Macaca fascicularis: one gene and its partner. The protein of the gene in region 2 interacts with the protein of the main gene of each other region in a pairwise test. Links are inferred from orthologs where the notes say so. Each region holds a gene or a part of one and is shown on either strand. Other genes may lie near its edges.

Region 1 (3,618 bases), on a different chromosome or scaffold from region 2:
TCCCGGGGCCCAGGAGCGCTGCCCGCCCACCGCGGGCCCTCTGGACCCAGGCCTGGGGCTTTCCGTGCCCGGGCAGCCGCCTGCCCGGGAAAATCCCGGCCCCCTTCCCGGCGCTGCGGCCCTGCCCGGCAGAGCGGGGGAGGGGATTCCCGGAATCTGCCCAGAGACCGCGGTCGCGTCACTGGGCAGAATCGGTCCTTGTATGGGCAGCGCTTCCGCTGCGTCAGCGGGGAAAGCCCCGGCGCGCACTGCTGGGCGGGGCCGCGCCTGCGCGCTCCGCGTCTCGCCCCCAGCGCCCTGCCTTCAGCTACTGTGTCCCTGGACTGCGTCCCGCGCCCCAACCATCCAACCCTGGAGATCCGGGGACGCGGGAAGGGTGGGACTCCCGGGTTGGGACCACAAGATGCCTGCGCAGAGCCGACGAGGGGGACACATACAGGACCGAGCCACCAACAGCACTGAGCTGGGGGCACACCAGTGCTTTTTTTTCCCTCCGCCCTCCCAGCTTGGAAAAAAAGACAACAGAAATTAATAAAGAACAAATTTTTTTTTTTTTTACTTAAATAGATTCAATAAAAAGAACAAACACACACACAAACACAAACACGTCTTAAAATAAACTCTTTAGAGACTAAGTGCGTGTTTCTTTTCCACAGTACGTTGCAGAGAGGGGAGGGCAGGGGGCGGGGGTCCCCTTCCCAATGTCCCCGCGGGCTTGAGTACCGGGCGGCGGGGCCAGCTCCGCCGCGATCGCCCCCTCCTCCCCTCCCTGTTAAATACACAAATATATTATATTCAATATGAATCGAGTCTGTTTCCAGCAGAAAAAAAACATACAAAAAAATGTGGAAGGGGGGGCTTGTAAACGTCGAGGTGGAAGGACTGGGCGCAGGGCGGGAGTTCAGTGTGGTTTGCGGCGCCCCCAGGTCCCAGGGTGGGTGCCCACCGCCTGCTCCCTGGACCCCAGTGGGAGACGTGCGCCCAGCCGTCCAAGCGAGGGGGTGTCCGTAAGGGGACAGGGGGCGCTCAGAAGGCGTGTCCCTTGACCCCAAGCAGCAGCTGACAGCCGTTGCTGACGTGGGTCATGACCTTCTGTTTGAGCTGGGCCACCTGCTCCCGGAGGAGGCCGGCGGTACTCGACAGCCCCGCGTTCTCGGCCTTGAGCGTCTTCACCTTGTCCTCCAGGCGCGCGATGCGCTCCAGCTTCCGCTTCCGGCACTTGGTGGCCGCCAGCCGGTTCCGCAGCCGCTTGCGCTCCACTTTGATGCGCTCTTGGTCTTCCATGTTGATGGGGGACACCGGCGGCGTGGCGTCCCGGCTGCGCGCCTCCGGCACGGTCTGCGGTTCCTCCTTAAAGGTGGAGGCGCTGCGGCCCAAGCCCAGCTGCGCCGGGTGGCCACCGGCGAAGGGTGGCGCGTGTGGGAGGTAGCTGATGGTGGCCGTCGGGTATGAGCTCCCGGTCCCGACGGCAGCCCCGGCGCCTCCCGAGGACGCAGAGGCTGGGGAGTAGCTGCTGAGGTTGGTGTAAACGGGAGGTGGCTCCGGGCCGGCGTAGACGCCCCCGGGCCCAGCCGGGGGCCCCCCGCTAGCGCCCAGGGACACGTTGGGGGGTGTCACGTGGTTCATCTTGTGCAGATCGTCCAGGGCTTTGACAAAGCCGTCGGCGAAGCCCTCCTGCTCCTCGGTGACGCCACCCCCTGCGCCCCCCGCACCTCCACCGCTGCCACCCCCGCGGGGGTAAAAGTACTGTCCCGGGGGTGTAGGCGTCGTCGTGATCACGCCGTTGCTGTTGGGGACGATCAGGCGTTCCAGCTCCGAAGAGGCGAGCTTGAGAGACGCGCCGGTGTCCGAGCCCTGACCAGAAAAGTAGCTGCCGCCACCGCCGCCCTCTGGGCCGGGTCCCCGAGCCCCAGGCGCTTTGAGACTCCGGTAGGGGTCGGCCAGGTTGACCGCCAGGCTCGGTTTCAGGAGTTTGTAGTCGTGTAGAGAGAGGCCACCAGGGGCCCGGCCGTATCCCGTAGCTGTGTATGAGTCGTCGTGGTAGAAGGGCTGTTCCATTTTAGTGCACATCCGGGCGGCCCAGGCGGTCTGGGGAGGGTCCCTGCGGGGCCGCCCCGGGCCTCGCTGCAGCGAGCGGCGAGCTCTCCGCTGCGGTGGCCGGACTGGGTGCCTGGTCGCGCGTTCTCGGGGGCTGGCGCGGGCGGGGAGCAGCCAGCCGGCAGCTGTGCGCAAAAGATCTGTCAGGCTTCCCGAGCCCCCGTCGCCCTCTCCGGCGCGATAGCTTTCCTGGCGTCGTTTCCCCCAGCTCCCAGCTCCCTGCTGGCTCCGAAGCTGGCCTGGCCGCTCTCAAGGTCCCAGCCGCTCAGCCTGAGCCACACGCCTTTATACCGCGCTAGTCAGCCACGGAAGTGCGCTCCGATTGGCCGTCGCCGAAGCCGGGCCCCCGCGCCCCCCTCTTCGAGCGTGGGGAAGGGGAGGAGGCGGCTCGCGTCACTGTCAGGAAGCGCGTGTCCTTGTAAACAGCGGCCACGGGCCGGGTGGCTCGGCGGGCCTGCAGGGGGAGGGGCTCAAAGGACCCCGGGGTACGCATGGAAGGAGGCCTGGGGGCCCAGGCACATGAGTGAGGGGTTTCAGGGAGGAGGATGATTTCATTGAAGTCCACTGGGACAAATACCAGGACCTGGTACGCAGCAAGTAGGGTGAGGATCTCAGGGTGTGCGAAGAAACCCCTGAGGTACCCAGAATACGAGAGGGGTAGGACAATTCATTGGGAGACCCCAAAAAGCAGGAATGAGGGTTAAGCACGGTAAATCGGGAGGGGTAAGGAGACATCTGACCCAGGAATTGACTGGGGGTCCCGAGCATAGAAGGATGCGGGGCTGGAATTTTCACAGGATGGAGGAGGGGAGAGATCAAAAGGGGTGAGTGGGCGGAGCTGCACGACCCATTAAATTGAAAGAAATGAGTAGGGTCCAGGAGCCCATGGGAAGGTCTGAGGGCTCTCCCGTAATTGGGAAGGAGGAATTAGGGGAAATCTAGGTATGCAGAAAGCGAGTAAGCGTCCTGCGGTACACTGAGGCAGGTAAAATATGCAGGGTAGAAGATGGAGACAAGTCTGCCAGAAGCTGGTGACCACTGGGGTCATCTGCGAAGCCCGGATGAAGGAGAGAGTCAGAAGGGTCCGGACACATCTTCGGAGCAGAGAAGACAATAAGAGGGTACTCAGTTGACATGCGAGGAGGGGGCTTTGAGGGTCCTGCGCACCAGGACTGCTGGATCTTCCACGACTGGTGCTCCCCCTCGTGGGTAACCTCCTAGGCATCTGTATTCTCTGTCCCCCATCCTAAAACTCTCCCCTATTGACCCTGGGCTTTGCCCGACACCGTGTCGGCTCCTGGAGCCTGGACCCAGCCCGACGGCTGGGGCGCGGTCGCCCAACCCCACTCCCTTCCTTAGAAACAGGCTGGGGAAAGAGCGCCGAGGCAGGAAGTGTGGCAACAGCCCCGGGGGAAGGAGCCCGGCCCTGTCTCCGTCACTTGGATCCTACGGGACCGTGCGCCCCGCCCTGGGTCCCGCCGCATCCTGCGCCTCGGAAGAGGAACCTGGGCGTGCGAGCCC
Region 2 (4,114 bases):
GGATGTCATCCTTCCACCCCATAAGGAGAAATGGAGGCCAACCCTCAGCTCCTGTCCTGCTTCAGCATCAATTCCGAAAAGGAGCCATTTCTTTCTTCAGGAACACGCTTCTACAGAACTCAGGGTAACAAGTGAAAACTAATCTTGTGTGCTTATCTCAAGGACTGTGCAAGCTTATCCAGGGTTTCAGGCGACAGCTGTTGGCATGAAGCCCTCTTGAATAAATAGGTGGAGGCCCAGGCTGTCCCTCCCTCCCAACCTCCCAGAGAGCTCCAGCCTCCTCCCTACACAACCAGCGAACTCACCTCTGGGTAAAGGACCCAACTTGCTACAGTTGGCCAACTATCTGGCTGTATGGCCCCATGAGTCATCAGGCATCGTGGCTTACACCTAGCAGGGCGAGCAGTTCCCACTCTGGGTACCCATCTTCAGTCCTGGACTGCCCTCCTCCCCAGATCTCACAAGGAATGTTATGACCAGTTTGGGATGGGTGGGTGGCGCCTCACTCGGCTAATTTGCCAGAAAAAGAATCCACACAAGTACTTTCCCTACAAAATAATTTATTCCAACACACAGCAACAGCAGAGACTCTATGTACAAGCACACTGACGCTCCTGACTACCCTCAACTAGGGGACCCTTTTCTTCCCCCTTGCCTTGCGGACCTCTTCTATCAAATCTTTCAGGTACTGGATCTCCTTGGCCAGGGAATCCGCCCTCTCTTTTAAAGCCTCATTCTTCTTTTCCAGCTCTTTGCACTCGCCAGTGAGGGCCTCCTGCTCCGCCCTCTTCTTCTGGCGGTACCTAGTGGCTGCTGTCTTGTTTTGCTCCATTTTTTTCAGCTTCTTATCCAGTTTCTCACCCTTTACTTTTGCTTCTACCATCTTCTCTCCAGGAGGGTCGTAAGGTTTGGGGCGGGCAGAGCCACAGAGAACACCTGGAGATGGGAGGCTCCTATTTGGAGAGCCCCTGGTAGACGGGCTATGCTGAGGAGAGCCCAGATAGGACTCCGGGCTCATACAGATGCCACTATCATTATCTGAGGGGGTGTCTTCCTCCTTTATGCACGGAGGGATCATGGCAACATAAGCAGTGGCATCTGGCTTCCTATCTCCTTCAGTGATATCCACTTCACTGCCCAGCTCTAAACTAAAGGAATGATCTGGAGTGGAGGACAGGACCCCTGGGGAAAGGGGAAGAGGTTGCAAGAAGGTGAAGGGGGCAACCTGGTCGGGTTTTGTTAAACTTTCTGGGAGATGGCCAATTGGGTTCACCGTCTGGGGGGGCTCCTTGTTAGTCTCCTGGACTAGGGGGGCAAAGAGATCACACGTGTCATCCAACGTGGTCAAAAGGTCATCTGGCATGGTTTCCAGGTCATCTATACCCAACAGGGCATCAAAGTCGAACTCCTTCAAATCCATTTTCTCCAACATCCAATCTGTCCCGGAGAAGGCATCCTCTGCAAAAGATTTGAATGACAGGGCCAAGTGAGTCAGATACAAAGATAACAGGCCCCTAACCCTAGATCCCACCCAGACGATGTGGTGGTGGCCCACTCACCCTTGCCGTTGTTGGAGGGACTGACCAACCCATCCACAGCCAGCCATTCGGAGGAGCCCGCCTTAGCCTTGTCGCTGGAGAACCCATGAGGTTTGAAGTGCTTGGCCACCTCCAGGTAGTCATCTAAGAGACCTAGGCTTTCTTCAGCCCCCAAACCCGACTGGTCGAAGGGGGACATCAAGTCCCCCACCAACACCTCGCTGCTCAGGAAGCTCATTTCGGTCATGTTGCGGTGCTTTGCTGGAATCGAGGAATGTGCTTAATTCGAAGATGTCTTTGTCGGTTACAGCAACGCTGCTGCTGAATGCCGTGAGAAGCCTGAATGGGAATCAGAAGCCAACTCCCATTAGAGGTTAGCTGGTCTGAGAATTTCATCTTTCCACTTACGAGGCGGGACTTCTCTAGTCCAGCCATCTACAGAGTCGGCAACGGGGCAGTTGCATCCGCCCCTCCCTGCTGCGGCTCAGGTTCCACAAAATGGACGCTCACGGAGACCAGGCGATTCTTCCACCGGCCACCAAGAGGAAGGCGCTCCGTCCCCGCGTCCAAATACGGCCAGGGCGGCCGCGCCCCGCCCACCGCCCGCCCTTGACTCACGCCCGCGGCGCCGCCCTGCCGCCGCCATCTTGGTTCTTGCCACGTTTCGCGGGGGGGGAAAGCCGAGACCCCTGGGACCCTTGGGGGATTCGGGGTCCGAGGGCGGCAGGGCCCCTGTGGAAGCAGTCCTGGCACCAGAATGCGCCTTCCCGATCCCGGGCACGCGAGCGTCTCGGGGACACCCAAGCAAAGACCACGCGTCCCGGGCGCTCGTAAAATCGCTTCCTCCTTGGCGGCACCGCCCTGGGCCCCAGGCCGCACCCCACCAACCCAAAACCTGCGCCGGCCCAGGGAGCACAGCTGGACGACCCGCCCTGGTACTCACGCCATGGCTTAAGCCGCTGGGGGGGGGTGCCGCTGCAGAGCCTGGTGCTGCTGCCGCCGCTGCAAAGGCCAATGCTGCCGCAGGCACTGCTGCCCCTAATACGCCATGGTGGCCGTGGACCCTGCGGGCGGGGAGGAGGGAAGGCGCACACGTGCGAACCAAACTACATTTGTGGGCGGACGAAGTAGAAATGGCCGCAACAGCCGCCCGCCGGCCCTTTATAGACTTCGTCTCTAAGGGGACGCAGCACCGACGCATCCTTCCGCCACGGCCACGTGACCATCTCCTCCCGCCCGCTCGTTTCCCTCCCTTTGACGCCCCAACCGTTTATGCCCAGCGCGTAGCTGTGACGAGAAAAGGTGTTTGTTCTTATGACCTCACGAAACGAGAGAGGTGCACTACTTTACTTCTATGATCAGAGTCCGTTCTTTCCTTCGCCGCCGGAGCGCGGAGTGATCTCGCAGACACGCCTCGCTTCCGGTGTCGGCGCGGTGGGCGGGGAGAGGTCGTTTTCCGGCGGAGAGTTTTTATTGTGAAGGCCGAGGACGCCAAGTTATCGCGCGAGGTGCTGGCGAAAAGCGCGCGTCAAGTTGATTGGCCCAGGCACGGTGAGTCATATATACCTCGAGCTCTTATTGGCTCAGGGCCCCAGGTGGGCGGCTGCTGGGAGAGGGATCACGGAGTCCGCGTGGGAAGGGTCGGGGTCTCGGGTCTCTGCCAGGCCTCAGGCCGGCCAGCCTGCTGGCCAGCTACAATCGCACTGGCTTCTGCCCCCAGGAGACCTTAGCCTAGCGCACCCCATAGTGGCCTCAGGGCCCAGCCCCTGCGGTCGGGTCCCGCCGCCCTCAGTGGAGGTCCGCCACTGGCGGCCCCGCCGCCACTCCCAGCCTGCGCGTCCTTCGGTTGCGGGGGCTAATTTCTGGCCTGCGGAAACCGCGGGGTTACCTGTTCCAAGCCTGAGTTTTCCAGAGACGCCATTCATAGCCGACACGGTGTTGCTGCCCCCGGGAGGTTGAAGGGGTCTCGAGAGGGCGCCTCGGGCCTGCCCACCTACACTCAAAGGCCAGCTGAGTCTGCATGGCTCCGTCTAAACTCTGGAAAGGAGCCGGGAAGACGCGCCGTCCTGTCGCCCAACCTGGGTTTTTACAATTCTCATCCGGCTCAAGTGCGAGGCTGCCACAGAATAGCATCATAGGGGAACTTCTGGTGTCCGAAGATTGCGTTCCCCTAAGAACAGAATTTTCTTCGCTGCCATCTACCTGGGGTAGTTTCGATTCACTCCGGGTTCTGAACTCCCCGGCCTAACCCGCTTTTCAGTGGTCATGCCCATGGCCCTGGGAGGAGAGGCGCTTGGGAACCCACGGCCACGTGCTCGGGGTTGTGCGTTGGGAAGGGGGGGTAGTCTGTTTTAATACAGGAAACCTCCGCATCGTCCTCAGCCCCCTCCAGTCAGGCCCTGTGAAGGTAGAAACTGTTTCCGCCTCCATTTCACCGGGCCACACAAGTATTTCTATGATCGCTGTGGTATCAAACCACCAGGGAAGCACTGCTCTAAATAACCACAGGCCATCTGCTGCGCTCATTCAACCTCGCCCACAAGTCCTTTCCAATGGTAAACCGAGGCCCAATGGGA

Evidence for each region. The genes of interacting proteins can lie anywhere in the genome.
Region 1: the proteins of ATF4 (region 2) and JUNB interact in binary tests that used the Homo sapiens proteins (3 or more experiments, as listed by UniProt). The link is inferred for Macaca fascicularis from reciprocal best matches to the Homo sapiens genes ATF4 and JUNB.

What each region holds. Positions count from the first base shown.
Region 1 is NC_088393.1:13,180,000-13,183,617, reverse strand, and holds JUNB (transcription factor JunB), read right to left. Parts: upstream 2,357-3,618; 5' UTR 2,071-2,356; coding exon 1,027-2,070; 3' UTR 529-1,026; downstream 1-528. UniProt on the Homo sapiens protein: Transcription factor involved in regulating gene activity following the primary growth factor response. Binds to the DNA sequence 5'-TGA[GC]TCA-3'.
Region 2 is NC_088384.1:12,124,601-12,128,714, forward strand, and holds ATF4 (cyclic AMP-dependent transcription factor ATF-4), read right to left. Parts: upstream 2,675-4,114; 5' UTR 2,482-2,674; intron 1,878-2,481; 5' UTR 1,786-1,877; coding exon 1,560-1,785; intron 1,459-1,559; coding exon 629-1,458; 3' UTR 544-628; downstream 1-543. UniProt on the Homo sapiens protein: Transcription factor that binds the cAMP response element (CRE) (consensus: 5'-GTGACGT[AC][AG]-3') and displays two biological functions, as regulator of metabolic and redox processes under normal cellular conditions, and as master transcription factor during integrated stress response (ISR).